Mytilus edulis: one gene and its partners. The protein of the gene in region 1 interacts with the protein of each later gene in a pairwise test. Links are inferred from orthologs where the notes say so. Each region holds a gene or a part of one and is shown on either strand. Other genes may lie near its edges. The genes, in order: Golgi phosphoprotein 3 homolog sauron-like, 14-3-3 protein beta/alpha-1-like and translationally-controlled tumor protein homolog.

Region 1 (11,855 bases):
CCGGTTGCCTGGTATATTTCATAGTTTTAAATTCAACTCGGATCACTCTACAAATATAATAAAAGAGTAAAAGAAGTGGTAATTAAGTTCTGTGCAGTCGACTTGTCTTTGGTCCTAGTTGTCATGTTTATGTTTACATTTAATATAAAAATATTTTTCGTGACTTTTAAGAGTTTCAGTACTTTCTTTCTTTTTTTGTTATATATTAAAAGTTCGTATGTCACTATAAAGCTGATCAGAAATAAAATCGAAAAAAAATTCTTCATAATAATAAAAAATCAATGTTTGATAAATGCTTGAACAAATACTAGCTTTTCATGAAGCTTGTTAAATTTTCTTTTAGTGCGGCGAAATTCAATATTGAATGTGATACCATCATGGCAAATATATTTGATTCACAACAAATAACCAGAGACATACATATATGTCTCTGAAATAACATATGCTAGCATGTAAAATAAAAACTTATGTTTAAGTGCTCTTATGTAAGATTTCTTTTTTTTTTAGGTTCGTTTGCAAGATAGTATTGTACGTTATGGTTTTTTTTACGCATGCATGTATGTATATCTTCGGTTAACTTCCTAAAGATCTCTAGAGCAGTTTTTTTCCTACTTCTAAATTATAACTGTAGCATGTATGTCAAACATAGATAATCATTGAGAAAATATGTCTCTGTATATTTGTTTTTTTTGTTTATTTTTGTCTATTTGTGTATTTGTATATTTTGTCATTGTCAGCTGGTATCATGATTCCGGTATTGGAATTTACACCAATAACATTATTTGATTTGATTTACTCAGCCGATTCAATTTGTACATGAAATGAATATCACTTTTTCCATGATATAATGTAAATTGTTTCCCGCATTGTAATGGGAGGACCATGCAGCATCGGACCATTTAACTTCAAAGGGTGAGGTCATGTGTCCTTCCAAAAAAAGTATTCTGATCCTCAATTTGATGAAAAAATATTTCTGGTCAAGCAGACGACAAAAGTATATTATTCTGAATTTATATTTCCCCCGTACCTTCATCTTCGCTATTATAGCCAAGGGTAAAGATACTCTCCCCTCCTCTCTGAAGAGAATGGGACTGGAGTATAACTCTTGGGTGGCGAATATGCATACCTTATAGTGTTTTAAAAAATTAGAAAAAAAGAGAAAAAAATCGTTGAAAAACTTAATAAAATTGATTGCGCTCTGCACGATTTTTTTTTACTCAGACAAAAAACCATAACCCTTTGAAGTCAAATGGTTGCTCCCTTACGCAATGGACAACAACTGTATACATTAGTTAAACGGATATACGCTAATTGAATCTAAGTTTACTGGGGGTAAATTAATCATGCGGCCATCATATTCCCCCTTTAAAACTGGAAAATAGTTTTTCTGATGTTTCATATAAAGAAATGCTTGGAACGAATAGAGTTTGATATTTTGGGGTACTACCAGAAAAATATCACACAACGTGACCGATGATTGCATTTAAGAAAGAAAACTTCCCTGAAGTAAATAAGACAATACCTCAACTTCCTTTTCGTGTTTAAAAGTATCAGTAGCCATGCAAATAAAAAAGAATGGTGCCTAACATCTCTCAAGCTCAATGAATGATTATGACTCAGAAATATTCTTATTTTTTTTTCTCTATATTTTTAAACCGGATGTGGTGTACTATGGCTTGTAACATGTCGTATCCTTGACCAGGTCATCCCTTAAAACAGTATTGCCGTTCTGTGTCCTTGAGATAAGTTGCATGTGTTGAAACACGGATGGGATCAATTTGTTTGAGGGAAGGATTTGAAGGATCTTTTTGTCAAAATAGTTTTGACAGTTTAGTATATTTCAAAAAGGCATACGACACAGTTACAGGGGAAGAAATCATACGGGCTTGACTACAGGTCAGGTATATAGCCCGTTAATCGTCTACGTGCATAAAAAAAAATATGCACCTACTATCCAACACCAACAGTAGGGACATACGGTTGGTTTTTTTTTCAAATGCACGTAGACGATTAACGGGCTATATATTTGACCTGTAGTCAAGTTCATATTTATGCTAGACAGCAGTATATTAAGACTACATATTTTTAATACAGATTGCTTTAATTGTACTTGCCCAACAGTTTTTAATCTTTTATTCTTTTGATCAATTGAGTGGACTCGTGTCTATTTGATTTGCACTCTAGTAAATTACAACTGTCTAGTTGTCTAGTGTAAGTTTAACTTAATTGTGAAGAAAACGGAGAAATGTATATAATAGGTAAAGACATGTGATTGTTGTTAAAGACCGTTTATGCATAGCAATATAATATTTTCCCACAGAAAGTAACCAAAAGTTAGCGTGCAATAAATCTTTAAAATTCATGACGTCATCAACGACACAATCTCAGTTTAAACCAATTTTTACTTTCAAATATATATTGCCATACAATAAAACTCAATTATAAAAGGGTTATTGCATGACTATTGGGGAATATTGTCCCTCGTAGAACATATATTGCAAGCTCCAGCAATATAAAATTCTACTCGGGACAATATTCCCCAATATTCATGCAATAACCCTATATTATCAGATATAAATAAGTTATAGACATATTTCGCGAGAATTGCACATATCTACATGTATATATGATCTATCTATACCACATCTGTTCGGATATTGTATTTTCTGCCAGATAACTATGACTTTGAACTTCTGAAACCAGCAAATATCATGAATGGCAATTTAAAATAAATGTTTTAACCACAAAAAGTAGCTTAATTTTTAATTTAAAATATTGAGTATAACCTTTTTACTCAAGAAATTGCAGCAGAGCATGTATTTTGTAAAATTACTAGTACACAAATGTGTGTGCATATGTAGAACTAGTAGTGTATGACTTTTTGGCGACTACATGGTCATTTAAACTCCAGAAAGCAGCACTAGTTTACCAGTTTTTGAAAACCTATAGGTCCATGAAATGTAAAACATATGCTCAATATTGTGTTTTCTTTATAAAAAAATACTTGATTTGCAATCAACACCCAATTTCCAAGATGACAAAGACAAATAAGCATAAGGCAATCGACTCGTTGTTGGTACATGGAACATATAAATGGTTCAATAAACTTGTGCATAATTAAAACAAATGCTGGTCGAAAGTTCAAACGTGAGAACACGCAAAGAAACAAAATACGCAAATAAGAGGCAACAGTAAAATTGAGAATGGAAACGGAGAATGTGTCACAAAGCAAAACGCACAGTAAACCTCGGTTTTTTAGAAGTCGAGTTCGATGTTAGGATATGTAACAGAAGAAACTAGCCAAAGGTATAATAATCAACATTGATTAACAAACGACTACTAGCAGTTTCTGAAATGCCAGCTATATAGACCTCAATTTAACTGATGGAAAGATTATGTCTGAATCATATGAAAATAAAGCACAATCCCTCCCATTAGGTGCTTAGTATCATACCATTATAAGCTATACGAGAAGAACATATATACAACCCGTATTATATTGAAAACTAGTTTTGGAATGAACTGCGTGACAGTGCTTATATTCGATGCAAACAATGTTTTTATTGATGTTTAATTCCCATAAAATCATAACATAAGAAGATACAAATCAAAGGAAACAAACTAAGGGAATTACACGAACTCCAAAATGAGTGAGACAGTATGCATCAGAAAGGTATATTCCTATGTCTTCTGGGTACACACTGAAATTAGAAAGTCTGCTTTATATATTGAATTTCAAGATAAACCACGGCCACACTCTGGTACATTAATCATCAACCAAATACATAGGCTGCACCATTACAAATGATCTATAGATTGGAGTGAACACAAACAAACAGCATGACATGAAAAGGTAGCTGAAGCCTCGGATTCTTACATCAAAACCTCCAAATCAGCTCAAAACCCACCAAAGAGCATGTCTATCCGATAAACCGCAAATACACCAAGACAGTATTGGAAACCGGCAATGCAAACTTAAAGACGAGCTGCACGATAGAAGTTTGAAGTTTATTAGGATATATGATATGAAAAACTATCTGAGTGTAATATGGTTTATTGGGTGACAGCGTATCACCAATATATCTCAGTCAAAAAAAAAAATAGAAAGAACTTTGCATGATGCTTTTTATAGTTTGTCTTTTCAAAAACGTTCATCAGAACACGAAAAACTATTTCAAACTAAAAATTATTACTTAGGTTTACTTAGGTTCTTTTACTTATACAGGGACTAAATTTCCTCTTCATCAGTCTCTTTAACTAAATCTTCTCCACTTCCGGTGACTGTTGCTCTATAGTGGCTTCGTACATCATTGTTTGGTTCATCCAGTATTTGTTTAGTCTATTCTTAAATGTATCTGTGGTTGGTGATGACACTATAATATCGGGTAGTGCATTCCATGTTCTCACCCGGCACTCGTAGAGCAAAGGCATTTCTCATTAATTCTGTTCTGGCTCTCTGTGGAAATATTTTCAGACTGTTGCCCCTTATCCCTGTGCTTGTAGTCATATCCTTCCATGATTTAACAATTTGTGCCGCCTCTCTTTCATAGTTTCCGTTCAGTAGTTTGTGTATTTCAATCCTGTCACCTCGGACCCTTCTATTTTCGAGATGGTAGTTTTAATTTTTGCAGTCTTTCTGAGTATGTTCAGGTAGTTTCATGGTATACCGCCATCTTGGATTGCACTATCGCAGTACACAATCAGTCTAAATATTTGCCCAAATCTGCAAATTTGTATACAAATGTGCAATTTTATTGTTTAAGACTGTTCATTAATATGAAAAAAACTTGCTGGTTTATTGCATTATTTAAATTATTTAAACAAGTATCAAATAGTTGTGTTGGTTTTTAGAATCATTTTTTTTTAACTAAGCTATTTAAGGGGAGATAACACTTTTAGTAAAAAAAAATATACTGGACTGATCGGGAAATTTTTAATTTAGAAAACAAGTTAGCTGATACCATTTTTTTCTTTCTTTTTTTCCTTTAAAAAACATTATAAAACCTATCTTCTCGAAATTTATTTCAAATTCTATATCATAGATTTCTTTTTAGGCACAAAATGTTTTTTTCATGATCATTCTAAGCAAATTTAGGCAATTTTCAAAGACTCATAGCATGAAAAATAAAACGGTGACCCATAATTTTTATTATATTTTTAAAAAGAGCACAGTAAAATCTTTATTTTGGCAAAGTATAATAAAATTCTATCTCAGGAAACATATACCGATGATCTACCTTAAATTCTTTAATCCTGGTAGTTGTTTAGTTGCCCGACGCTGCACATTCTCAATCATGTCATTATATTCTATTTTATATGGATGCCATACTGAGCTTGCATACTCTAAATGTGTTCTTACGGGTGTGTTTAACACCACCAAAAACTGGGGGTGACCTCAGGTGCTTTAGAAGGGTAAGCAAATCATGCTCCACATGTGGCACCCGTGTTGTTGCTCATGTTATCACAAATCCGGTAAATAATCTAATTCGGTAAGTCACATTCATGAAAGGGAAGGGGATTGTAGTTACGACGTAAGGAACATATCCGATATACCATCTGTGAAACGGTTATTCCATAACGGTCAACCAACTCGTGATGACGTCCGTAAAATTTACGAAGCGGGATGATTTCAACTTCACCATTTTGAACTCTTGGTTTAATAGCTTCCTTGTGAGCAGCAACCCCGGTCTATCAAGAAAATCATGATAGGAAAAAGGTATCTGTATCTAGATATTTGAAAGTCCTTATCAGTCCTTCTTATGCTGGTAAAATTAATTTATATTTCAAAATTTGGAAAAAAACCAAAAGAGGCGGATTTTTGTGATTGTTTTTGTTTGGTTATATAGAGAACCACAGGCTGAAGCGCGAAGGGAGTTGGCCCCCTCTTAGGCAGTCAGTGGGCCCCTACTTATGAAAATTTCTGGATCCACCACTGATCTGTATCTAAATGTTGGAAAGTCTCAGTCCATCTTATATGTTGGTAATATGGGGACGAAGTCCCCAATAACAGTAGAAAATTCAATAAAAAAAAAAATTCGGGAAAATTTCCCGAATTTTTCATTGTACTAATGAACTCAAAATCGTTCAATTTTTTTTATGTCATGTTTTGAAATCCCGGACCTGCGCAGAAATGTACAATATACTTCCCTTTTCCGGTCTCGTTTGTATGAAACTTTGAGTAAAATATATATTTATCAGTCTAGTTTAAAATAGGAAGGAACGCGCAATACTTATTTCATTTTTGATAATTCCTTGATATGAAAAAACGTTACCTAATGATAGCGTTTCTTGTTTACATTGCATATGACGTCATAATTTAAATAACGTCACAACTAAAATCCCTAACAACAGAACCAAAATCGGAAACGTTACTGTATTTCCGTGTCTTTTTTTTTTTTTACAAATAATTGAGTTACAAAATAATAATTCATACAGACTTCGTCCCCATTTACAGGTAATGCCTGCCTCATATTATTAATTTAAATTCAAGTTAAAATTTGGCAAAAACAAAGGTCTCTGTATCTAAATATTGGAAATTCCTTCTCAGTCCTTCTTATGTTGGTAATAATAATTCATATTTCAATATTTGAAAACAGAAATTGAATGACAATACTAGTAATTAAAGACATGATAATATACTTGACGTCTGTTTAATAATTTACAAAACTCGCCACATTAAATAATTACCGGAATATAACCGACAATTGATCTAACTTTTAGTATTTTCATAAAAACGTAAAACAGATTTGGATTGTATTAAATATTTTTGTTTTTTTAATTTTCATTAATATATTTTTAAATTAAAATGATAATTTGAACGATAAAAAAATAAATTGGATAACAATTTTTAAATTCAGAATGTTTCTAAAATTGTTTAGAAAATCTCGGATGTTTTGATGTTTACGTCAACGAAGACGGCCATTTTGATGGCCAGACTTTGCAAGTGACTGAGGTTTCTTAGGCTAAACAAACTTATTGGCCTTTTATATGCAGTAAAATAGATACAATGGCTTCTCAGAGAGGTGGAGGCTTAGTCCAACGACGCGGTAATAATGTAAGGACAGATGAACCAAATTCTAGTGAGCAGTCGGAAGATCTTTCTGGATATCCTGATGAAGAAGAGGAACACGACTCAAAAGAAACTCGTTTAACTTTAATGGAAGAAATCTTACTGTTGGGATTGAAAGACAGAGAGGTTATACATTAGAATGAATGTGTTTTAAGAATTGCTATTTCCACATTTGTCGACAGACATAACTTGTTCCCCTATACAGTTATGCCAACTTTTCATGAAGCAAATACGTGAGATTTGGCCAAAATTGAAAAGATTAAAGAGAAAAAACAATAGTTTAAAGAAAAACGCCGCCTTAAAAGCATGAAGTCTCATGCTAAATGCGTGAGACTTGGCACTACTGCCTATATGATGGTCACAGGCACTAGGTTCTATCCATGGGAACACCCACTATCAACGTATATTTACGTTTATAGATGCGTGAGACTTGGCAGCCCTGCCTATATGAGGGTCACAGGCACTTGTTTCTATCAATGTATATTTACGTTTATAGAAGTGGGTCTTCTCATGGATAGAAAAAACTGCCTGTGATGAGGGTTGTAAATGGAGGCAACCTCATGACGAATCACAGTTAAAATTCATTAATGATGTAAATGTCAATATTTTGTGCATAACTATAAGATGTACACTTTCTTTTAGACGATAAAAAAAATTCCAAAAATTACTGTAATGATATTAATGTTTTTGAGACCTCTGCGAATCAAGTAAAATTTTAACCAATTTGACACCAACAGTTGGGTTGCAGAAACTAACCGTTTGACGCATAAACAAAAGGCATGGCATCACTATCCTTCTCCATATGTAGAGCATAAAACCCTAGGTAAAACAAAATATTACACAAGATACTGATTGAAGTTGCATGTCGAAAAAATACACCTTATCGTTATAAGACATCTCAAAAGTTCCTGTAAAATTTCCTTAGGCTTATAATAATAATAATCTTTATTTCAAGAGGGTATGCTCAATTAGTACAAACACTATTCTCCCTTGAGGCCCTCACACTCCACTCACAATGCAATTCACACAATTTCTTCATAACAAAGATAAACATAAGCAAACATAATCAAAATTGATACATAGTCATTTAAATAATTCCTGGATTTTCAAGTAAAAACTTAAAGCAGTTTTTTTTAAAAGTATGTTTGACATGTGTCTTAGTGCTTCTGGTAGTTTATTCCATAAAGTTGGGCCCGAATATGAAAAAGCTCTAGCTTCTAAATGTGTTTGTTCTTGCCTTTGGTATATTAAGTAATTGGGTAGTATTTGATCTAAGTAGCATTCCATTATTATTTGTAACATAGGAGATTTTGTTAGACAAATATTCTGGGACAGATCCATATAAACATCTATGAACATACATGTATAAGGCCTTGTGGTAAGTTAAACGATCAGTAAATCGAAGCCATGATAACTTTTTAAACATTGTATTAGATGGGGTATCATAAGGAAGTTCAAGAATAATTCTAGCTGCTCGTTTTTCAAGTTTATCTAATCTATTTGTATTTTGGTCTGACACTGGTGTTTTCCCAAATTGTACAACAGTAATCCAAAATAGGGAGAATATAACCATTAAAGTATAACTTTCGTGTTTCTAGGGGGAGGGATTTCTTTATCCTAGACAAAAGATTTAGCCTAGTACTGATTTTTGTGCACAAAGTGTCAAGGCTTGTATGCATACTGTACGAAATTAGATATCCTTGAACATGCAAGTTTACCTCAATTCACGAAAATTTGTACTTGCAAAAATAAATGAACGTATAGTATACAATGGTATAATGGTTCTTCTTTAACAAATTTTGACTTGAATGGAGTTGTCTCAATGCGTCATTGGCACTCATACCACATCTTCTAAATTTTATTTCAGTCATGAAGCTGATTCAGCTGTGTTTTCCCAGGTCAACATGACTGTGCCGTCCCGCAGCCCCTTTTAAAATAATTTCATTGATCATGCAGAGCCTTAATTGAAAAAGAAAGATGGCCGCCAAAATGAAAATCAGTATGACACAAAAATATGCAAATATTGATTGACTCCACAGGGCTCACACTACTTCAGAATTATAGGGAGAAGTGACTTCTCTTTTTGAAACTGATAGGGAGAAGTTGTGAGATTTGAAAGAGAAGTGCTCATTCGCGCGGTGCGTTACAATGTTTGGATTTTACAATAGTATAAAGGGCCATATGCAAATAATGTTCTTTTTATATTGTTCGATTCATATCTGAGTAAAAAAAAATACAATTAAAGTAACATTTGAAATTAAAAGTTGTTTAAGTTTTACTAAGGTTCTTGTGACAAACTTATTCCAACTAAATATCTAGCACTAAAAAAAAAAATTATTTTAAAAAATGTTAAGAAATTATAATATATCATTATTACAATTTAATTAAAAATTATCTTGTGTATGAAATTCAGTGTTTCTCATAAAAAAATATAAAAGTTATTAAGCTGGGCCATAATATATTGAAATTAGTATAATAGTCTCAGAGTTAAGCAACTTTAATCAATAGTTTGAAACAATCCATAAAATATATAGGGAATTATATACACCAATCAATTAGATGTAACCAAAAGTCTCTTAATGTGTGTGGAATGCGTAATTTTTCCCTTTGGGATCAATATTCTTCTGTCAGCTGTTCCGTCCGTGCGTCCGTAGTAATTATTGTAAAAGTACGGATTTCGGTCATAGCTGGTCCGGTTCAGATCCGTAGTTTAGAAATCGGTCAATGGCGGATGAATGCAAGAAAATTTACAAAAATAAACAATGTTTGACAAGTTATTTGGAAAGGAACATGACGTTTTTAATGCAATAAATGGATTAAACATTTACTGGAGGCAACTTTTATCACGTTTAAATGAAGTAACAAACTTATTTTGCCGCCGAAATTTAGGTTGATGTACGTTTTCGAGTAACAAGCACCGGAACTTGCGAAAATGCATGAAGTGATAAAAAGTTGTATTTTTATCAAATAACCTACTACACACTGCGAAGACAATGCTTCAATCTCTTTTCTAAAGATAATGAATCGTTTATGTCTGAATTTCTTTAATTATCAATAAAAAATTGATGTTTCATCAACTTGGTAAAAATTGAAAATGTCCGATGACGGAAGCGACTGAAAGCAAGTATCGTCAAGAACAGGGCGACTTGATTTCGCTTTTGGGGGTCGGGGAAAGCGAAGTGAGGGTCGGGAAGGCCAAGTCGCCTGGTAGCGTGAGCCCTGACTCCATCCTTTAACTGTTATTTGACTTATTATGGCTTATCAGATCGTGCAATTCTATACATACTAAAGCTAATTAAAGAAAAATGGTTTTTTTATAATTTTTTTCAGATTACAGTTGAATCAGGATTAGAATTGAGGGAAAAGATTGAAATACAATGTACAAATAGGAAAAATCTTTATGCGTGGCTTACCCTACAATAATGCTGAATTAGATAAAACAAAACTCTTCAAACTTGACAGCTGAATGATTATTTTGAGTTACATTTATTGTACATGCAAAAATTTCTGTTACAGGGTTACACATCATTCTGGAACGACTGTATATCATCGGGTCTGAGAGGCTGTATATTAATAGAACTTGGGTTACGAGGAAGGGTAGAACTTGAGAAAGCAGGAATGCGTAGAAGAAGTTTACTTAATCGTAAAATCCTTCTAAAGAATCCTGCTCCTACAGGTGATGTCTTACTGGATGAAGCATTAAAACACATTAAAGAGACAGAACCCGCTGAAACAGTTCAAAGTTGGATAGAATATTTAAGTGGTATGTGAAGTACTCCATACTGTTGTACTAAACTTTTTGATGATAAAATATGTAAAATTTAATTGTAGGCAGAGAAGTTTGCAGATTTCCTGATGGACCAGACTAAAAACTAGATCTTTAAATAGGGGTGTCTTAGTGTCCAGGTATCGAAATACATTTAGTTAGTCTACTGTATTGCTAGCCTCTCAATTCTGAGGTTGTGAGTTTGAATCCTGCATGTGGAAGGCACTCTAAATGGACTAGGATTGTCAATTTTACTTCCAAAGAGTTGTCTTCCTTTTAACTAGAAAAAATATACATGATACAGTGTATATACATGTCAGTAAGTGTTGTCTATTTTCAATCAGTATTAAATTTGTGCAGCAATCATACATGTAGGTGCCAACCAAAGGGGAAGACCCCCCACAGCAAAAAAATAAATTCTGAAGCACATTATTCATAGACTACTTACAGTTATTTGTAATAACAGCATATAAAATGGTACATATATTATAGTTGTATGCATCCTTGCCCTTAGCATGCTTAGGGGTTTCCATGGCAAACAGCTCATACCATTTCCGGTTTAGACTTTTTTTACTAACATAAAACAATATAGACAACAACACCCATCAATTACCGCATGGTAACAGTTTATTCTGGTCGACATGTTTCGCCAACAAGGATGGTGTCTTCAGGACAAAATTACACATGAAATCAAACAGTGAAGTACAAATTTTGCGGTTGAGTGGTTTGCCGAACAATAGAGGTTGTTATGACGACGTTATAGATATAAATAGAAAGTAAAAACTTCACCCTATCACCATCACAATTGGAAGCAGTTCCTCCCTCGGAGCGAAGCCAGTTTATTTGGTACGGGATGGCCAGTGGGGTGTTGTCCTATTTGGAAATGAACTGACTTTTTATGATCTACTTTCATCATGTCTACAATATTACCACTAGAAACCTCCATGAGAACAACTACACAGTCAGACCTGTAAGAATAGCAGCTAACCACATCGTTAATAACTTTATTGACTAACTTTC
Region 2 (11,525 bases), on another chromosome or scaffold:
TATTTTTTAGATGGAAGAGAAAAGCTTTCCAGTACTGACAAGTAAAGATTGATATCAAATGCATTGTACATGTATTAAGAAATGGGGTCGAGGAGATGATGAGACTGACTGGTTTATTTGTGTTTTAGGGAGACTGACTGGTTTATTGGTGTTTTAGGGCCACTATTCATTTGAGAAAGCCGGAGTGCCCAGAGAAAACAATGACCTTCAATAGGAAAACTCACAAATCTAGTCAATGAAGATTGGAGTTGAGTGAACCCATAGGAGTGGGCTAGAACTCACAAACCTCAGTGTTGACTGGCTTATGATTTCAGTTTAAGAACTACTTAGACCACTTAGCCTCGAATGATGAGACTTTGTAGATTTCAACATCATTATTTACCTTGTTTACCCTCAGCCCCATCCTCATCTGCAACCTCTGCCAGATATCGCTAGTAATCTCCCTTTATGAGGAGATCAATAGATCATTTGAGTACAATGTATTTACCTTGTTTACCCTCAGCCCCATCCTCGTCTGTAACCTCTGCCAGATATCGGTAGTAATCTCCCTTTACGAGGAGATCAATAGATCATTTGAGCACAATGTATTTACCTTGTTTACCCTCAGCCCCATCCTCATCTGTAACCTCTGCCAGATATCGGTAGTAATCTCCCTTCATTTTTAAATAGAACACTTTGCTTTCATTTCCACTATCTGTATCTTCAGTAGCTTCTTTTAATAAATGTTCATCAAGCAGATGCTGTAAAAAATGAAGATTTAAAAGTGAATATCTACTTAAATGTTGACAACAGTGTGTTGCATAAGTAGAAAATTTCCCAAAGTAGGATGTCGTTCGGAGGACAAGCCTGCAGGTGTTAACAATTGGGATGTTAACCTAAGGCGATGGTAGATAATTGTTCATGTATACTATAAGTTAAAGTACATTATGTACATTTAACAATAATGAAATTGTACAGGGGCATAACTCTACATGTTCTAGAACAGTAAATGTGATGCCACCCTGATTCACACTTGAACTGTGTTTTGTTGAAATAAGTGTTGTTTATAAGTGACATAATATTTGGTTGGGTTAGGCCAAATAAAATTTCATGCTTGGTTCCAGGTACCCGACCAACCCTAGTTGAAACCCCCCCCCCGACCCTAGAACTTTTTTTTCATTTCTAAAAATAATTTTTCAAATGATCATTTTTGAAGATTGCGAATTTGATTAATTAAATTCATAGATTTCAATCAACTGAATTTCCATCATTAGTATCTGTTATCAGGTTAACATGCCAGTCTGCACCAAAAACTTTATAACTACTAGTCCGAATACCAATATTCTGACATTTTTCTTATTTGGCCAAACAAAGTTTTGCAAAAACTTGCTAGTCCGAAGGAAATTTTACTAGTCTGGGGCATTGGACTAGTGGCTAACCGTGCAGACTGACATGCAACAATTCATATCAGAAGGCATTCAAATGAACTACAAACATACATGTAACAGACTGTTTATTTTCCAAACAAACATGTAAAATGGTGAACTTCTGGTTTGGGCTTGTATAATACCAGAATCAAATCAGGGGAACACCAGATTTTTTCCAGATTTTGACAATCCAAAAAGAAATATTACAAAAGAAATTTAAAAAAAATGCCGACCTACTGAGTTACTTTTTAATAGGATGTAACTGGAACCACACATAATAGAAATAGAACAGAAACTAATTTTTGGAATGGACAGACCCAACTACAGATGGACAAGGGCAACACTGCACACTTGGCTGTGGTGGGTCCACAAAAATTATAAACCCATTATTTCTTCTCATAATATTTTGTAAAACAAAATGTAAGTTCTATGGAGACCAAGCTTTAATATAACACAAATATGACTATTTGAATGCATAGATAACAAAACATTTCATATTTGTTTCACTGTTTTGGTGACAACAAAAATTAAATCTTTAATAAAATATTCTGCAAACTGTTGGCATCTACAGTAACAAATGTACACTGACATTAAGTCAACTTCACTGAAACAAAGCTTTTTAAAAAATGAAAATCACTCTCCCTTTTAGGCATAAGTTTTTTTTAAAGAAATTTCCACTTTCCTGGCAAAGCCAGTGCTCAAATGTCTTCTACCATAAGTTACATATAACCAGTAGTCTGATGCCTAGACTAGTAAAATTTTATTGAGACCAGTAAGTACAAATAAAATGTGTTTGCAAAAATTTATTAAGTCTTTAAAGGAAAATGTTGGAATTTTGGTATTCAGTTTGGTAGTGGGAACTGGAAAAAGATTTTGATGCAAACTGCTGCAGCAGCAAATCCCCCAACCAGATGTGAAAAGTGCATACTCTACTTAACAAAGCTGCCAAACTGAATACCAAAATTCATGCATTTTCCTTTTTGGCTTCTAAAATTCCAAATTTAAAATCATAATACAGTCCTTTTTAGAAGCCAAAAAGAATTTGAAAACAAATTATACACTTGCAAGGTTTAAGGTTAATTTTAAGTGCAGTTGAAGGGCCTTTTTTTTTAATTTGTATCAAGTTGTTGGCTTTGATTAGGCAATGCAGGTAAAAATATACCAAACAGCAGTCTGCACGATTAGCCACTAGTCCGATGGCTAAGACAAGTAAAATGTCCTTTGGACTGTTTGGCTCTATAATAAAAATGTTTAGGATATTAGTCTTGGACTAGTAGTTGAAAAAAGTTTTTGGTGTAGCCTGAAGAAACAGTTGAGAGAGCGAAGGTCTATTAACTTGCATTCCATACCATGTGCATTTGTACAAGACAAGTCAAGACCTGACAATATAAAGTCCATAGATCATGACCAGAGATGAGTTAGTCGGGAAATTTTTTGTTCTGATACTGATAGTAATGCAACCTTTTAGAAAATATCTACTTTTGATCTAGTTCCTACGAAATTGACTCAAACAGAAAAGTTAACATTAAAAAATTGCTTATTATTTCAAACTCATGATCAGTAGACCATGACCTTAGGGGAAGTAAGTTTTATTATAATCAAGTTATAAATTGAAAAACACCCCTTGTCTCGGCTTCCTTATTCTTTCCATTCAGATCCTTTTCACAATGTACATGTACATATTATATGGCAATATGCTGTCTAAAATTAAATGAACAATAGGAATAAACACAACCTTTTCATCTTCTATACAAATACAATTGAGAATGGAAAAACAAGGAATGTGTAGCAGAGACAACATCCATCATCAAAGAGCAGAACATTTATAACTGTCTTGTTACTGTTACAGAATGGAGTGAGTCTGTAGATATATTGACTAATTGATTGTTGTAAAAATACTTCCATCATGCACATCAAGGTTGTATTTAAATAATAGACCTGGTTATATATTGTTTTTTCTCTTGTACTTTCAGTTTGTATACATAGGGAAACATTAATACTAGCAATTTAAAAATACAGCTTAGGAAAAATGAGACCTATCCCAAATTTTGAACGATTCAAGCTATTATCTCATGTATTTGTACGAAGTGCACACTCAGAAATATATATATAGTGCATTAAGCCTTTTTAAAATCCTTTGGTACAAGAACCTTCTTTTATTTTTTATGCATTTAACTACATGTATAACGTCTTAAGTTGCATACACCTACAGACTTCATATAAATGCAAGCCAAGAATAATGCATTTAAAAACTGCTGGCAATTTTAATATGGATACTAGTACTTCATAGTGGAAAATCACACAGGTTTGTCATTTTTGCATAATTTATGCAGAGTGCTCCATTATATAATCAGTGCTGCCAAGCTGTTGATTCTGTGAACAATAAGATAAATCATTGCATACTGCATTCAAGATGTCCACGGAGTGTCTAGATCTGCAATAATACTGCAGAGGAGATGATGAGCTCATGACTCATGCAAAATTTTTACATTTTTATCAATGACGCGGATGAATATACAAACACATGCCAATTTTATGATGATCCAAATTCTCGTCTTCCTGCACATGCAAAAACGATGCTATCTGAATCTGTGTATTGCGATCGGGTGTAGAATATATTTTCTTTGATATATAAACATCTATAACTTAAAGAAAACACAATAAAAATAAACATGCAATGAAAACTGCACGCAAAACGACACAACAAGAAACATCCGTCAACTTTCACTCACCAGAACGTCTTTGCAAATTTCTTGGAGTTCGGTTGTTACTTTGTTTTTGTAATCTTTAGCCAATTGCTGTTTCTTTTCTGTGCCATCAGTCTTAGATTCTATACTTGAAATTACTCTCCATGATGACCGCCGGGCACCAACAACATTTTTGTAGGCAACGGAAAGTAGATTCCTCTCCTCGTTGTTCAACTTCCTAAACTTTTCGACCACTTTTTTCATGGCCTCGGCCATATCATCATACCTTTCAGCTTGTTCAGCTAACTTAGCTTTTTGAACTAGTGTCTCGCGTTCCTTTTTATCTTCGACTTCCGACATGGTTAAAATATTTGTAAATAATCGAAATTTGAAGTCTACTACTCTTTACTCTATCTCCACCTTCCCAATATGGCGGAATACACTAACCAATCAAAGTACAGGTGACATCACTGATTCTTCCGCTACTCCTTTATTTTCATGGACTAAAATGATAAAGTTTAATTGTTTATATTCTATAAAAATATGTCAGGGAAGATTAATTCACTAAAAAGAATAAAAATAGTTATCGTTTGAATAATCGAATATATTATGCAGTGGGACTATTTTGCATCAAAATTCCTAAAACCTGGAAGTGGGTTATCTTCTCTTGAATTCCATTTCTTTCGATAGATTTCGGGGATTACATTCTTTCGAAAAGGTAGCCCTAACGTCACTGTTGCTATGTCAACTCCTAGCCGGGTGTCGAAGGTCAACGTTGTTAATAAATAAAACTTTACCATAAATTATTTTCAATGATATTTTCGAATTGGAATTGATAAAAAGTGTAATAATTTTAATAAAAATATTTTTTTAATTCAATTCCTGAAAACAGGAATATTTCCTTATTTCCGGTTGAAAAAAACACGTGTGTTTGTGTACATTTTATTATCAAGATGCCAAAGTCAAAAAGGGACAAGAAAAGTATTATTATATTGTTGTTTATTCAAAGAACTGCTTATACACACTACAAAATACAAATAAATGTTACAGTCATTTTGTAAAATCCCTGAAATTTTAACAGTTTGAAAATATTTGGGATTATAATTTTATACTATAGTTATTTTTTACTACTACTAGGTACATTGTATGAGTGTTTTTATGGGGGTTACGGTACTTTCGTGACTAACAAGGGGCCTCGGGGGCCGAGTGGGATAAGAAGTCCGATTCTAGCTAGTCAACGCTGAGGTTGTGAGTTCGAACCCTGCTCTTGCTGGTGCAAAGGGTTGCGTTCAATATCGTTCAATATTGTAGGGGCTATGTAGTGCTACGTAGATTTATGACTATTGAACTAGTAGCTAGCCTATTACTATGTAGCAGCTATACTAACTACTTGTTCAATAGTCATCAATTTACGTAGCCCCTACGATATTGAACGTGACCCTGAACTCCAATCTTCATTGATGTTTGTCAGTTTTCTTATTGAAGTAGTTACATTGTGTAACTAAATTGTTCAACCTTGTTTCACTTTCAATTTTGATATTTTTTTCATTAATCAGGTCAAGAATAACCACCAATTGGTGGATTATACCTCAATTGATGTATAATCCACCAATTGACATATAATGGTATAGACCAATTGGTGTATAATTCTTTGTTTTTCAAAGCAAATTATTCCACCAAAATGGAGCATTGTCTTCTTAAAAACATATTATGGTATGAAAACTTGTAAAACATTCCTAGTTTAGTATAGTGACATTACATATTGCATTTCAGTGGCGGATCCAGAACTTTTCCTAAGAGGTGGCCTGCTCCAGTCATGCTTCAATGATTCCCTATATAATCAACCAAATTTTTCCCACGAAAGGGGGGTCCTGGGCCCCCCAGGGCCCCCCTGGATCCGCCTATGAATTTAATCAATAATTGTATTTGCAGTTTCTTATATTGTTATATATCTTGTCAATTCTTGATTGGCAAATTTACCACTAATCACCTGTCAATGGACATCAATACTGTCTGCAGTCATGTGATCATGAGTACAACTCCACAGGTGAATGGAACTCTTTGTTTTAAATACTTCACTTTCATTATCAAAAGTCAATCATGGTCAATAGTACAAATGTTTCAACAAAAGAACTGTTGTACACATGCATTCTCAAGAGATGCAGCAGGCTTTGGCAAAACTGAAACTTTCAGAGGACTCAATAAAGGTCATAAAATAGGTTGCAAGTTGCAAAATCATGCTCCTATCTCACACTAGCATTTTCTTACAAAAAACTCCCATTATACATCAATTGGTCTATACCCATATATGTCAATTGGTGGATTACACGTCAATTGAGGTATAATCCACTAATTGGTGGTTATTCCTGACCTGTTAATATCTGAATAACTCAGTCATATTAGTATATGCCTTACCCAACTCAGCAGGGATAGAATTTAGTTTAAAATGTTGTTAAGACCACAGGTCTAGAGTAAATTTGTTCAGCGTAGTCCTGATAAAAACAGCCTAGCCCTAAGTCACCGATGAGGGTCGCGTCAGCGACCTGAACCTTCTAGCAGGGTTTGGGGGCATGCCCCCCCCCCACAAGAAAACTTTTCAGAACTACATTCTATTTCCTGCTATCTGAGACCATTCTGAATGTAAAAATGAGGTCTCATAATAGCCAATTTATGGAGTCTCAAAAAAGAAAGAAATGGAAAATAATTAAGATAACTATATTTAATTGATTTTTTTAAAGGCAGTGCTTTAAGGCATAAAACTTTGAGTTTTTGTGTCTTTCAAAGCACGAACAATATACAAAATTAGTTGCAGGGTAAAGACACTAAACTCATAAGTAGAAAAAAACAATACTTGCAATATGGTGACATATAGTTGTTAATTTCTGTGTCATTTGGTCTCTTGAAGAGAGTTCTCTTATTGGCAATCAGACCTTATAATGGCTTATCTTCTTCTTTTTATTGATTGCATTTAAAAAAACTTTTTTCAACTTAAAAAAAAATACAAAATACAAATCCAATGAGAATACAGGCCTATCAGATGGTACTCATGTGCAGAGTGTGATGAGACTAGCATTGATGAGAACTAGAACCTAAGTCCTGTGACATGACTAGATTCAGTTGTACTTGACTCATATTTTTAAAAGTATTTTTTTAAAAAAACCGTCAAATTCTGTTATATTGTTTAAATTCGTTTTGCTCCTTTAATAAACTAAAAATGAAAAAAGGTTATTTTAAATAGAAATTTTTTGGACAAGTAACAATTTCATTTGGACAAGTAAATTTTGGTATGTACTTGTCATGACAAGTTGAAAAAAAAGTTATTGGTGGTGTTGGTTTTCTTTCCTCCATTTGAAATCTAACCATAATTAAATTAGTCCAAAAATAAACTTCTATGCATATTTGGTTACACAAATTTAGTTTTGAGCCTGTTGATAACCAAATTTATAATTAAATGTTATTTTTTTATTTTACATATAAGGCCACGGTTTTTTAATTTGTTGGTTTACGGATTTTTCGCATAAAAAAGTCGGGTCGGTCGGTCGGAAAAAAAAAGAAAAAAAATATCTTTCAAAACAGAAAAAATATGCAAAATAAATATATATTTCACCTTACTAACAAAATGTTTATCTTATATGCTGTTTTGTCATCATTTCTTAACATTAAGTTCGATGAAATATTATTGATCAGTGATCATGAACATCGCATGACATCGTTTAATAATTTCCTGTAAAAAAAGGGGGGTTGCACGGACAAACACGAAATTAAATCGTCATTTCACAAACAAGAAAAACAGATTCGCGTAGCTCTCAGAAAACTTGGTGAATAATGATCTTCAAGCACAAAAACTGATAAAGAAAAAAAATATAAAAACGTCGTACAAAAATAAGTTTCAACACACGTGTCGAAAAACGTAATAGACTCGTCCACTGGAAAAACGACAATATCGGGTTAATCAGTTGTCATGCAATCCGGTTTTTATCCCAATGATTGATATTTTTTGTTATCTATGAAACAAGAAAATTTCAAATGATTTGTTAATATTCAGTACTTTAATTGATGTATTCCACCTGTCCACATTGGGCCATTCCAGTTAATATCTGCTAAAGGAGGATGGATGGTCCTTTCTGAGGGGTGTAAAATTTATACATCTTAGGGGTGAAATTTTGGGTTTTTTCATCTGACACGTACACATATACGCAAAAATTTCTGAGGGTCTTGCAGCAGAAAATAATTAAAAATAATTACATCTTAGGGGTTACAAAAAAAACCTATTTCAGATCTTAGGGGTGCTTTGGAATGTAAAAAAGTTTCGTATCATGCATTATCTGGTATTGTATTTAAAATTCTGATGGGTACAATCCTTGCAGTAAAAAATTCTGATAGGTCAATTTTTCCCATGAAAGCCATCCACCAAATATGAACAGGAACTCTAAATCTGATAGGTCTTAATTTATAGATCTGATAGGTAGTTTTACATGATGTTTTTTTCTGATAGGTATGAAAAAAAATCTCCCCATCCATCCCAACCTGTCAGAAATTAACTGGAATGGCACATTTGGACAAGTCTATTTCTCTGAGATGATGCATCTTACGGACTGATGACAAATAAGGGAAACGAACTAATTTGTAATTGGTTTTAAACACAGGTTTCGTTACGCAAAATTATTTGCGCAAAAGACATTTCAAGGTCAGTTATAATTGATTTGTCTATTTTCAGAAACGTAAATTGGAAGTTTTATTTTTCACAACAGAAAGTGTTATCAACTTTGTTAATGATTAATGCATTTCATTTCATAATAAAGGAAAATTTTAATTATTTTTCAGGGATAATGCATTTATAAGGGTCGGCGGGAATAAAAAAGCATGAAAAGTCAATTTTATTTTTATTCTGAAAATCGGCAAAATCGGGTCGGCGGATCCGTAAACCAACAAATAAAAAAACCGTGGCCTAAATGATGCTTCAAATGTTTTATGACTAACAAAATGTATATGTATCTTTTTAGTTTCATTAACACAGACAAAGAGGAAAGGTTTAGAACTGAAACAGAGGCTGATAGATGATGTAAGTACTAAAAACCAACAATATTATATAATATAAAGATAAGACAAAGAGGAAAGGTTTAGAACTGAAACAGAGGCTGATAGATGATGTAAGTACTAAAAACCAACAATATTATATAATATAAAGATAAGACAAAGAGGAAAGGTTTAGAACTGAAACAGAGGCTGATAGATGATGTAAATACTAAAAACCAACAATATTATATAATATAAAGATAAGACAAAGAGGAAAGGTTTAGAACTGAAACAGAGGCTGATAGATGATGTAAGTACTAAAAACCAACAATATTATATAATATAAAGATAAGACAAAGAGGAAAGGTTTAGAACTGAAACAGAGGCTGATAGATGATGTAAGTACTAAAAACCAACAATATACTGTAAATTCAGAAATTAATGCGAGGATTTTATTATTGCGAAAAATGTGACAGAGTTGTAAACGCAATAATTTAAACTCGCATAAAACAGGATTTTTCTCAAAATCATAAAAATTAAAATCGCATATAAGTTTTAAATTACAAATCGTAATAATAAATGCACGCTATAATTTCTGAATTTACAGTAATATAATAAGAAGATAAGACAAAGAAGAAAGGTTTAGAACTGAAACAGAGGCGGATAGATGATGTATTTGCTAAAACCAACAACATAACATAAAAGTAAGGAGATGAGGTATGATTGACAATGAGACAACTATCAACCAATTTTGATCACATGGTATGGGTTTTTCTCTTTGTTGAAGACCATGCATACAGTTGCCTATAATTGCGTTCATCCACTTTATTTGAACTTTGGTAGATAGTTGTCTCATTGTCAATCATATCACATCTCCTTATTTTTATACTTTTTTCTACTAGTGTGATAAAGCTGTGTTTCTAAATTTAAATAAAAAGTAAAAACACAAAAACACTGAACTCCAAGGAAAATTCAAAAAGGGAAGTCCAAAATCAAAAGGCAAAATCAAAAGTCCAAACACATCAAACGAATGGATAACAACTGTCATATTTCTGACTTGGTACAGGCATTTTTTAATGTAGAAAATGGTGGATTGAACCTGGTTTTATAGCTAGCTAAACCTCTCACTTATATGACAGTCACATCCAATTCCATTACATTGTCAACGATGTGTGAACAAAACAAACATACTCAAAGAGTAAAAATGTCAAAAATAGGGGTACAGCAGTCAACATTATGTTATCATCTTAATCACTATAAAAACAACAAATGTAACGAAGAAGCACAAAAAGGCATACATCATGTTTCAATAAAATGAAAATTGATGAAAACTGTTTAAAAATTTCTTTAACCCTTTACTCCATAATGACATTTTTTGACGCCACCCCCTTTACTCCATAATGACGCCTTTTGATGCCTGTGTAGTGCCTCAGTTGAAACGTCTTACCTAGGAAAAATCTTTATCAGGCCTAAATTAAAATATTGTTTGTTTGCCCTTTTCCGACCCTATGTTTTGAAACAGGGTAGGTAGGTAGGTAAAATATTTTATTTTTTTCCCCAAAAAAATAACTTGGCTCGGTATATTATTTGTCATGGGTAGGCAGGTAGGTATAATATTTTATTTTATAGATGCATATAAATGTCATTGGTGTCCGTTTTGTTTTTGCAAATAAGTTTTCTGGGACTATTAGTTTAAAAAAAAAATCATGTAGAATGTGAAGCTAATTCATATGCACTACTATTTTGTTTTCAAATATAACTAAATAGAGCTGTGCCGCATATCTTCAACGTTTATATGCCTGAACTTTGAAGAGTTTGAACTTGCACTTATATTCTGTACTACGTACCTTGTATGCTTACCTTAAGAATTTCTGTAAAAGATAACTTTGTACTGATAATATATGTCTGAGCAGACATACATCACTAGTAGAAAAAGTCCCTAGAGTGTTAAAAACATCGTGTGTGCCTTTGTTTCCAATAAAAATGCTACTAGACCTAAAACTCTGACAATTGTCACGTTTTTTACATCGCATTTATAAATGATCTGTATGGACAACTTGGCGATTTTACTGCCAGATATTCTCCACTTTACAGGGTTTTGTCACTTTTGGTTCATGTCAGATATAAATAATATAGCGGCATCGTTAACATAATCATCAGGAGATCTGCGGATCACAAAAGGCCATCCCTACATAGAATACAACGTCCGTTTACAAATTAGTTTGTACACAAGATGATAATTTTGTATCAAACGAACTTTTTTGTAAATGAACCATGCTCTTTTAAGTTAAAGGTACAGAGTAGGGTACGTCATATCATGATTTCAGAAAGCGTTCACAAGCTGAACATCGATTTCAAACAAATGCTTTGAAACTTCAAATGTATAAGTGTTAATGTCAAACGCTCAGGTGATACC
Region 3 (11,155 bases), on another chromosome or scaffold:
CTCTACAAAGTACCAAACAATTAAGAATGTCGGTCTTGTTATGTTATTTTACCTCTCAAAGTTGGATCTGAGCATCATCGTGTAATAAAATAAATATATCTTATAATATTATTTTTTTTAGATATTTCCTTCTATGTTTTAATTATGCGTTGCCTTTTTTTTTTACATAAACTCCATATATATATATATGTACGTAAAATTTTTAATTGCAGGGCAAATGCAAAGTCAAAGAATACGATCAATGGCAAGTTGATTACCAGAAGTGCCTTAGCAAACATTGATGGTATTGGAATTCAGGCTTCCAATTTTCATGAATTATACAAGTCTTTCGTATATGATGAAATGTTTTCAAATGGTATCAAGTTAAGGATGATGCGATATCTTATTTCTGAGCAACTTAAGAGTTTAAAATTAGTTGGAAATTCAAAAAGCAAAGGGATCAAAATAACAATGACTGATGAAAAAGGCAACACGCCCAACTCACAGAATTTGACAGCTACAGAAAGACTAGAATCTGGAGAAACTACACATAAAATTGTTTCTGCGGATGTGATAACTATGGTAAATGCTGCAACTCAACAATCGGAAGATATTTATCATATACAGTCAAACGACAAACGTCCACCTTCGTCTAAGCATGGTAGATACAAGCGGTCTTTAAGGAGTTTGTTTTCGTTCAGGAGTGGATTGTTTGGCACAGGAAGACGGGTTTCATTCAGAAAAGATCTTTTCGGAGTATCATGGCCTGTAATGTATAAGATGTCTCCCCGCCGTCGTAAATATGTGCCATCAGTTTCCACTTTAACGTCATTTCAAGACTCGTATGGTATTCTAGATCCACTCGCAAGCAATCTGATTGGTTAAGAAGAGTATACCTACATCGAAACTTGAGTTTTAACTCTTTTGAATTAATAAATAGGACAAAGATCATTAAGTTGGTAGACTTATTGTTTTAATTTGATCCGTTTCTTATTATATGTTTTCTTTCTTCTTTCTATGCCTTAGGCCCTTATGAATTTGTTCGTAACATCTCTCGGAAATCGTAAATCAAATGTTTTCAAAACTATAGTAAAGGATCATGTAGCCCTTTGTCATTAATTGTTATTAAGTTAAAGTTTGCAGACTTTGGTTTTAAAGTTGAAAACGAATTAATTTGAGGAGGTCTTCTAAAGAAGCCTATTAGGAAATGTTCATTTGCACAATTACAATGTAATCATGTAGTTACTCCTGAATCAATTGGACTTAATTGCATTTCATTTGGTTTAACTTGGTAGCATACAGTCATGTGAACAAAACTTCCCAATTTTGAACTTTCCATTTATATTATGTATACCAACATTCCGGCAGCGCCTGCATATGGAGTATATGTAATTAGAATCTCCCAGTTTATATCTATATTCTAAGGCTTGCGTTTCCTTTATCATGATCATTAGATGGTTGCTGCTCACAATGAAGATGGCAAACGAAAAGATCCAAAGTGGTGAAGTTGAAATCATCCCTTCGTAAATTTTACGTACGCCATCACGATTTAGTTGACAGTTATTAAATTTCTGTATCATAGATGAAAATGGAGATATTACAGCTACCGTAAGGTTCCACAATATCGTCATTTTACTGAATTAGACTTATTACCAGGTTTGTACTAACATAGGCAACACGATGGGTGCCACATGTGGAATAGGATTTCTACTCACACCTTCGGAGGACATGAGATCACCGCCAATTTCTGTTGGAGTTAATGTTGTTCAGTGTCTAGTTTTATATATTTGGTTTTGTATACCATTGTTTGTCTTATGGTCGTTTTCTCACTTGATTGAGGGGGGGCGAGGGGTTTAGCTGTTATGCTGTTATGGGGCATTTTAATTCTTTGTTATCTGTTATTCTGAAAATATATTTGCTGTTAGCTGTTATTGTCTCATTCTTTGTTAGCTGTTATTGTCTCATTCTTTGTTAGCTGTTATTGGGTTTTTTAGTTATTTTGTTATCTGTTATTGTGATAATGTATTTGCTGTTAGCTGTTATTGAAAATTGGGATGTTAACATTTTTGGGACAGCCAAAATTCGGTAGAAATTGAAGATCATTGAACATTGGAGTCTACCACTAACTAATATGTTGGTCCCGTATTCGGAGAAGGATTCCATTAACATATACCCATCACAAAAGTGAGGTCCAGGACAATTCCATTATATCTTATGATTATCCTTCGTAAAAGCTTTTATATTATATGGTACATAGAATCAGCTCTTTTCAAAGCAGAACCAAATACATTGTACAATGAAAGTTCCCACCATGTACAGGGTTCCGAAGCTACACGTAACTCATTACAATTAAAGATTTATTTCAACTTCAAGCCATAGTTCACCTATTAAACTATATATATGTATTCTACTTACTAGTAGACTTGGTATACAATCAAAACCTGATAACAATTTGTTCAAATAAGGCCTTTGAAAATAGTGGAATAAATTACTTTTGGAGTGTCAAAATTGGTCCTACTTAATAAATTGCATGCTTATACTAGTAATTGGTGCTTTTGATTTTTCTACCCTATATACAACTTTGCCTCATAGTCTTATTCAGAAAAATTCACACACCTCATTAAATGGGCATTTAAAAAAAGTCAGAATGCGAATATATATATTCAAACTCTTTTAGGTCATTTTTTAATTGCAACAAACACAAGAACTATGTCAATTGGACCTACTTTGATACCATAACTGCCCTTGAATTTTTACTAGATATAATTTTTGTCTCTTTGACATATTCCTCATTTCCAATCTCAATTTTATTACACATTATTTAAATTACAAACATGTGTGAGTTTCGATATTTGTACAAAAATAAATGCTGAAAAAAGTATTCCATAACAAATAAACAGCTACGCCATGAGTGCATTATACGCCCGTCACCTTTTGGAAATATTCGATAACTTCTCAATGTCATATCAGATATTTATAAAAATCAGTCAATATATATCATGTATATAAACAATACATCAAAGTTTCATGAGAACTGCAGAGAACATTTTTGAGTTATTGTCCGAAAACTGGAAAATACCATCTTTTTTAATGAATAAACCCCTTAACTGAATAACATTAAATCGGAAATAAAAAAAAAATCGAAAAGGCATGTTCATAGAAAATGGAATTCATTACAAAGGATTATACCCGTAATAAGAAATACTGGATTTGTCAAGGACCCGACTTATTTTAATATTTCATTTACTGTTATCTGTTTTTGTCCATTTTAATTCTTTGTTATCTGTTATAAGCCAAATCAATTTGCTGTTTTGCTGTTATTGGGACCCCCTTGCCCCCCTCTTGATTCAAGGAAAAGTATTTGACCTAATTTGAATTTCATTTGTCTGTCGTCCGTCTTAAAATAGCGACTATGTCACATCTACATCTACATCTACATAATACTTCTTAACTTCAATATGTCACTCATTGACTAATTATAGAAACAAACAAAGCGTACACGAATGAAATGACATGTGAAGTATACTTAAATAAGACAGCAACCCAATGACGCCAACAACAAAAACAAAAATATATAGAACAACATACAGTCTACATAATATCACGTACGATGATTGTACAACAATAGCAGTATACACATTTAATCATTAAAGTCTATAACACCAAAGACAAATATTTGATGGATATTTCTTAAACTTGTTAATCGTTTATAAAATTGCTTTTATTAATTTCAAATTCCTGAAGGTAAAATCACACTTCCACATTATAATAGCGGACTACATTTGTGATAAAATTTTGTTATATATAAATTTTCAGTATTGAAAATATAAGGTTCGTTGAAAGCTGCGATGTCCAGTGGCGGATCCAGAAATTTTCATAAGTGGGGACCCACTGACTGACCTAAGAGGGGACCCGCTCCAGTCACGCTTCAGTGATTCCTTATATAAGCAACCAATTTTTTTCTCAAAAAGGGGGGCCGGGCACCCTGCCCTCCCCCTAAATCCGCCTCTGATGTCACTGCAAAAGTAAAATAACAAAAATACCAAACTCCAATGAAAATGATCTTACTAAATGGTAAAATCAAAAGCTCAAACACATTGATCAAATGGAAAACAACTGCCATATGTCTGACTTTGTATGCAGGCATTTCCGGACTTTTAGTATACAAAAAGGTGGATATTACACCTGTTGTTTTGGTTACTTAAAAAAACGCATACATCGACAAAAATTGATAATGTAAATTCAGTAATCTTGAAGCCAACTGAAGATCAACATTAAGAAAAGGAAAATAAACAATAGGAATGAAAAAAATCGTCCTGTTTATCGTAAACTTTATGATTACTCACGAGCCATTTTAATATTAAAGGGGCATTAGCTATGAGATAAAACGCAGTATTGCATTTTGATTATGATTTTTTTTTATCAACTATTAATGAAAGTGATATAGTGAAATAACAATTCGCGTTTAGTAGCCGATTTGGTCAATTTTGTCAAAATAAGATAAAAAAAAAAAAAAAAAAACCCCAACAAATGTCCATAGTACACGGATGCCCCACTCGCACTATCATTTTCTGTGTTCAGTGGACCGTGAAGTTATGCTCTAATTTGGCATTAAGATTAGAAAGATCATATCATAGGGTACATGTGTAATAAGTTTCAAGTTGATTGGACTTCAACTTCACCAAAAACTTTAACCTGAAGTGGGACAGACGGACCGTCGAACATGTGTATCAACCCCTGGCCTTAGCTGGATATAGGTTACACATGTATTGAGCTATTAAAAGGAAAATAATGTCAAATGTAAAGTGAAATCAGGATGAACCATTTGGGTGACTTATATTCGATCAACAAAAAAATTTGCATAATGGTAAAACGATGATAAACATACCTTTTAAGATACAATGTGATATCAAACACATCTAGAAAAATCTAATTGCACAAGGACGCTTTATATCAGTTAATGTTTAAATGTATGTTTATATTTGGTTATATGACCGTCGGCGGTCTTCTGAGGTTATCTCGATATGGTTATATTAGATTACTCGGAACAGGCACATATAAACATTGAATCAGCATTGGCGGGGTTAAGCATGTTATCTGATTTCTAATATATTCTACGTTTCTATGGGAAATAAATGCATGGGCAAAAAAAACGAGATTTTTCTTTTATAAGGATCAATTTCTTTTCAGAATGAAATGTTTTTATGAATAAACATGTTCATGCTTTGCCGACTGGTACTAGCATAGAATATTTTACAAAATATTCTATTAAAGGATCTCGAAAACCACTTGAACGACTAATTGGTTCTGAACTTACAGTTAAAAATATACATTTGAAATCCTCTTTAGATTACAGTTGAAGACCCCATCCGACATCAATCTCGTCTTTCGCCAATACTAAATTAAACATGTTAAAAGAAGAAAAATGGGGTGGGGGGGGGGGTCGGGGGGGGGGAGTGAAAAATTTATGATGTACCCATTTCTTTCCAGCTTTTTTTGAAAAGGACTATACATGTAATTGCCAACAAAGTTTTGGTTGGATAATAAGGCAGCGAATTTTCATCTTTAAGGCGTCCATTTTTTCCCCTCTGGAAACCCATTTCTAGTTTTCAACTTTATTGCTGTAATAAAGCAAAACACCGCCATATGTGTTATTTCAAATCTCACTAGATATTTCTATGTGCTTCATTTTATGGTAGAAACTGTCTTATTGATATATGTCATTTTTGTGCATAATTTTCACGGTACCTTGTGGAAGTTTTAGATTTGTTAAATAGATGCTATTTCGTTTGGCAAAACAACATTTTTAAAGTTAAAACGGTATTTAAATTAATTACTATTCCCCACCGACTTCATAAAAGCGGAAAGAAATAATTGGCTTCTGATTTCTTATATATGACATGTATATATGACCTAAAATCCTGTATTTAACCATGAAAATTAACAGTTAAGAAATATTTGGGACGATATATAATTGTTGGCATAGTTTTGACCAGTCATCTCTATTTGTATATTAAAGGCACAAAGTCTGCATGAGATGAGACAAATTGAACCTCACGTTATTTTCCAGCTGGAAATATCTGATTAAGGACATTCACATTGCAAACATGTGCTGCTCTATCAAACCAATCATCGGTCTTCAGAAAATGTCTACTCCTGGATGAATTTGACGGTCCGAGTTGTCTTCCTAGACGGTCTATTATGACTTAATAGTCGGTCCAATTTGAAGCGGTACGACTTGTCTCGGGGACGAGTTAGTCCACATTGGAAGAACTGTCACTTTAGAAAGCTTCTTTGTTTAAAACGTTTTGATGACAAACAAAACCGGAAGTGGTCCTTTTACCAGTTCTGACAGCCGGTGTCGCAACACTTCTGTTTATAACAGAAAATAATCTACCAACATCAGCCAAAATGATTATTTACAGGTGTAAAATATCAGGTAAATTAATAAATTATACACTTTTTGATATTTTTTGCCATTTTGATTAGCTGAATTTTACGATCAAAGTAGAAAACAGAATCTTTTATATGAGTGTATTAGTCAGCTGGTTTGTAAAGCTATTTCAAACACTCCCTTTACTATCCCAGTTTGGATCTGGCTGAAAAAACTGGTGACTTTCATTCAATGATTTGTTGTAAAGCTAATGTAGATAACAACACAGAAATCACTGTAGAGATCGACTGTAAACAATGGTCAACTAGACTGTTACAATTCTACTTTGAACAAATTATTATAACCGAACGGCGAAAGGAATCTGTGACGTACCCATCCATATTCATAAGTGGGAAATACAGATACAGATTATAAGTCCGAGATTACTCTGACGTCCAACGGCTGTTTTGCCAGACAAGCTGGGGCCGTGGGACGTCAGAGCTCGTCCCATATCAAAAAGTGGATATTTGCCCACCCAAAATAGATGCGCTGCTTCGTCGCTTCTATTTCTGATTGAGGGCCTTGAAATTATATAAATTGGGCATCAATCTGTTCATTTTTCATTTATCTCTTCATTTATGTAAGTTTCACCTACCTGCCCACCTTTATTTTTCCATATTTAAACAGTTTTCACAGAGACCCATCGATTTCTGCATTTTGACTTTCACTTTCAAATGGACGTCAAGTTACGAGAGAGTTCGTGGCCTCGAGACTCAAATATGCAAATATTTATATTTTTTCACCTCCTTTGTAGGAGATCAATGTTTAACATTTAGAAGCCAACCACGATTTTTCACCTCCTTTACAGGAGATCGGTATTAAGCATTTAGTTCCGACCACGATAACAATCGGAAGCTCTCGGACATTTAGATAACTTGCATCGTAAATGAACGAGGTGTTACAATATGGTCATTTGCACTGTTTTCTCATGGTCACGTGATAATCTTTGAAAATGAAAGTCAAAATGCAGAAATCGCTAATCTCAGCTTTAAAATTGAAAGTGAAAATTGTTGCTTGCAAGGTAAATTGGTCTCAAACTGTCATATTTTTTTTAGAAATAAAATGATCTTTGAACATCAATCGTGAATCCGTGCGGGAAATATGTGACAATCAACACGGGTACGGAATCGTCGCAGCTTAATTCTGTATAATGTCACCAGTAAATACTTTGAATGGTCTTAACTTTAACGAAGTTTCGTTGATATATACTTGCCAAAGATAGGTTTTAACAATAATGCACACGGAAGCGTAAATAAATGTCAAACTACAGAAAATGGTCAGCTGTTCATTAAAATATTTTTGTTTTAAAAAGTTGTATACCAAATATCTTAACCATATTCGATTTTATTAATTCTGAATGAACATGCTCTCTGCAAATAACAAAGGGGTGAATTCTAAGCAAAAGGCAGATGATGAAAGTAGAAGTATTTTTTCAGACCAATGACTTCTAATGAACAGGGAAATACACCTCCGATCCGTCTACACTCAGCTGTCAGTATACGCGGATATTATTGCTTCCCCTAATCCCAACCAAGCTAAAGTTTTAGCAAGTGATAAAAGCAAGCACCATGTTCTTGGTTTCAGTGACAAGTGGCTGACTGAGTTTTCATGGCTTAGAAATGTTAAAGGGGGTATCAGCAAAAGTTATTGTGAGAGGGGGTTTTGAACCCCTAAAGAGGATAAAGACAAAGTTGAGGAACAGACTGTCCAACAAAATAGCATTATCTTGAAACAATATCCCTAGGAGTAGGGAGTACAGAGATGAATATTTTTATTTTGACATCTTTAATGGACTGAATATAAATAACTTTTGTGTTTAAATCAATTTATTTCATATATTCTTGTAATTCATTAATACTTTGCATTATTAAACACACAACACAAAAGATTATAACTCATATTGCATGTCATGATTTATGACTGATTGATTGATTCAGATCACAAAAGTTCACTATAAAAAAGAGTTACACGCCCTTGAATTTTGCGCCTTAGAAAATTCCTGGGGAGAACACTGGTTAAAGATGTTTAGTGTGAAAATATGATTTAAAATTTGTTTCTTCAAAATTACTTGAGAAAATATATTATTGTATTACTTTTTTTCAGGAGATGAATTGTTCAGTGATGCTTTTGAACCAATGATTGTGAAAGAAGACTTCTTCTATGAAATTGAGGGAAAGGTAATTATTATTTACATTATCATCCTTCTCTTCATCTATATCACCCTGCTCAATTGCTTTGTTATTCTAGTACCAAGGCTTTGAGGTGTGATGTTATTCTTGTACCAAGGCTTTTTATGTGTAAGCAACCAATATAAGTGAATTACAATGTCTGCAGAAGAGTTTTCAACAACGTCATTATGTGTGAGATGTCCAGCATAAAACAATCGAAATGAGGGAGGAAATACCAGCAAAAGAACTAAACAGGTTATCTTGTTTTCTATGAATAGAATTCACAATCTTCAGGCTTTCATTCATGTTTGAAGAGATAATATTTATTAATCTGTTTGCTTAAAATGTATGGTAGAAATTAAAAATATAATCTAACATGTTACGATGTATTTGACAAACTACAATATACTTTTATCTTTTGTAGAATATTTCTATCAGCAATAAAATTGATGAATCTGCAATTGGAGCCAACGCTTCAGCAGAGGAGGCAGCAGAAGGCCAAGAAGACTTAGTAGAAACCAAAATTAATGTAATTTACAGTCACAAACTTCAAGAAACCAGTTTTGACAAGAAAGGTTTCCAGACATTTATCAAAGAATATATTAAAGTGTATGTCAAATTTTGTCATGCAGGTTCAACAAATCTCCATACGACCACTTCTGTTTATAATTTATGATTCCTAAAACATTTTAATTTCTAGGCAGTTTTTTTCATTGCATCATTTCAGTATCGAAAGATTTTCTATTTACACTATTTAATGTCCTTGAATATGAATTAAAATTCAGGATTCTATAAGTGCACTTTTCACCAGCCCAGTAGTCTGCACTTCTGTGTTGATATGGAGTATCATTGATAAACTTTCCAGGTCCTTGCTGTAGAACTTCTTTTTTTTTGTATTTGGGGAAACCAACATTCAGAATCCATAAGGCCTACAAATGTCTGATCAATTCACAGATTTCTGTAGAAAGTATAAAGAAAGTAGCTGAAATTGATCATTCAAATAGTTGAAAGATATATAATGCACACATGATTATTGAACACTTTCTAATTTGTCTTTTATATTGTAAAATTATATATATTGATCACATGTTTGTACCATTTGTATATGTAAAGATAAATTGTGCATGCATTTTAGAGACAGAAAATTAAATGGCTATACAGTTATAATACAATCAAATGCTGCATTTGATCATCAAGATTTCTAAACTTAAGTTTTTAATGATTGAATCCTTCAAAAAATATATTTTTGATATTTCAGATTATTAGCTAAAATTGAAGAAGAAAAAGGCAAAGAAGCTGCAGATGAATTCAAAAAGCGAGCAGCCACAGGTGTAAAAAAAGTTTTAGAAAACTTCAAAAATTGGCAATTTTTCCAAGGTATATTTACATGTAGTAATATATATTAAAGGCCAAATAAAAGTATATGTGTGGTCCTAGTTGCCCTCCAACCCTAGAACTTTTGTTCTTCATTTCTATTTCATAGGATCAATTTTTGAGGATTGTGAATTTAATTTTATATAATGAAATTCAGATTTTTGTCATCTGATTTTCCGAACTTAGCCACTATCATTATTAGGGTATTTAGTTAGAAAAATGGGTGGTGTGACCCAATCAACCAATCAAGATGGCTGCCATGGTCAGTGTTCTCCCCAGGATTTTTGGATAGCGCTGTGGTAAGCGCGTAATTTTCGACGATTCTCAGTAACTTTATCGCGGCACGCAGTTTGTTTGTAATTTATTTGTTATGTGTTTTTATTATATCATGCTGTTGATTTTTCCTCTTGTTATGATGTCCTTGTCATGCTCATGGAAGTTACAGTGTACCCATTAATGAGGCTTTGTTTGTTAACGACGTGTTATTGTCTGGATATATAGAAGAAGAGGTTTTTTTTCTCCATGGCCTTGTAATTTCATATATTAAATCCTCATACTATCTATGTATACAACTGAAGATGGATCTACACCAGACTGCCTGTGCCAAGATTTCTTAGCACCATCAGGTAATGTTGCAGAACATGTAGGACTAACAATAAAGTCATTATCAGTTTCTGTTTGGTTTTGTAACCAACTGTAGCAGTGTACTGTCAACCTTACGACGTTTGACAGGAATTTACATTTCTCATTTTTATGACCCAAACGTTTTATAATATTTAAATGGCTTCATCCAAGCTGGACATCGAGAAAGTAAATTTCTCAAGTCGTATCAGCTTGGGGTTTGTTTTTCTAATCATATCCTCTCAAAATTGTTATCAAATGGTAGAATTTCTGACAAAAAAATTATAAGTTCAAATAGGAAATAACTAAAACCTAACAGACTTGCTCATTTTCGGGGTTTGTATGGATAGTAAACCCGGCAAATAATTTGGAACAAACCCCTGTGTTTGATCGTTTTTAAAATCATCGTTTGTTCAAAGTTCGTAAAACAAGTTTGTGAGTGACGTCGGCAAATGCGACCAATTCATTTCATCTCATTTCATTCATATATGCCTCTATATTTTCTTTAAATTATAAAAATAGATGTCAATGTTGAAATCTTTGTTTATTTTGATCTGTCAAAAACGCCATTTTGTAAAAT

What was found.
Region 2: the proteins of Golgi phosphoprotein 3 homolog sauron-like (region 1) and 14-3-3 protein beta/alpha-1-like interact in binary tests that used the Drosophila melanogaster proteins (3 or more experiments, as listed by UniProt). The link is inferred for Mytilus edulis from reciprocal best matches to the Drosophila melanogaster genes sau and 14-3-3zeta.
Region 3: the proteins of Golgi phosphoprotein 3 homolog sauron-like (region 1) and translationally-controlled tumor protein homolog interact in binary tests that used the Drosophila melanogaster proteins (3 or more experiments, as listed by UniProt). The link is inferred for Mytilus edulis from reciprocal best matches to the Drosophila melanogaster genes sau and Tctp.

The regions. Positions count from the first base shown.
Region 1 is NC_092347.1:27,681,698-27,693,552, forward strand, and holds the start of Golgi phosphoprotein 3 homolog sauron-like, read left to right. Parts: upstream 1-6,886; 5' UTR 6,887-7,006; coding exon 7,007-7,195; intron 7,196-10,585; coding exon 10,586-10,832; intron 10,833-11,855. UniProt on the Drosophila melanogaster protein: Phosphatidylinositol-4-phosphate-binding protein that links Golgi membranes to the cytoskeleton and may participate in the tensile force required for vesicle budding from the Golgi.
Region 2 is NC_092355.1:77,870,411-77,881,935, reverse strand, and holds the start of 14-3-3 protein beta/alpha-1-like, read right to left. Parts: upstream 4,798-11,525; 5' UTR 4,740-4,797; intron 4,597-4,739; 5' UTR 4,454-4,596; coding exon 4,139-4,453; intron 741-4,138; coding exon 593-740; intron 1-592. Other genes in the region: mRNA turnover protein 4 homolog, read left to right, coding at 5,047-5,074, 9,097-9,155. UniProt on the Drosophila melanogaster protein: Required in Raf-dependent cell proliferation and photoreceptor differentiation during eye development. Acts upstream of Raf and downstream of Ras, and is essential for viability.
Region 3 is NC_092346.1:46,577,524-46,588,678, forward strand, and holds the start of translationally-controlled tumor protein homolog, read left to right. Parts: upstream 1-6,264; 5' UTR 6,265-6,390; coding exon 6,391-6,418; intron 6,419-8,515; coding exon 8,516-8,589; intron 8,590-9,004; coding exon 9,005-9,189; intron 9,190-9,838; coding exon 9,839-9,957; intron 9,958-11,155. UniProt on the Drosophila melanogaster protein: Involved in calcium binding and microtubule stabilization.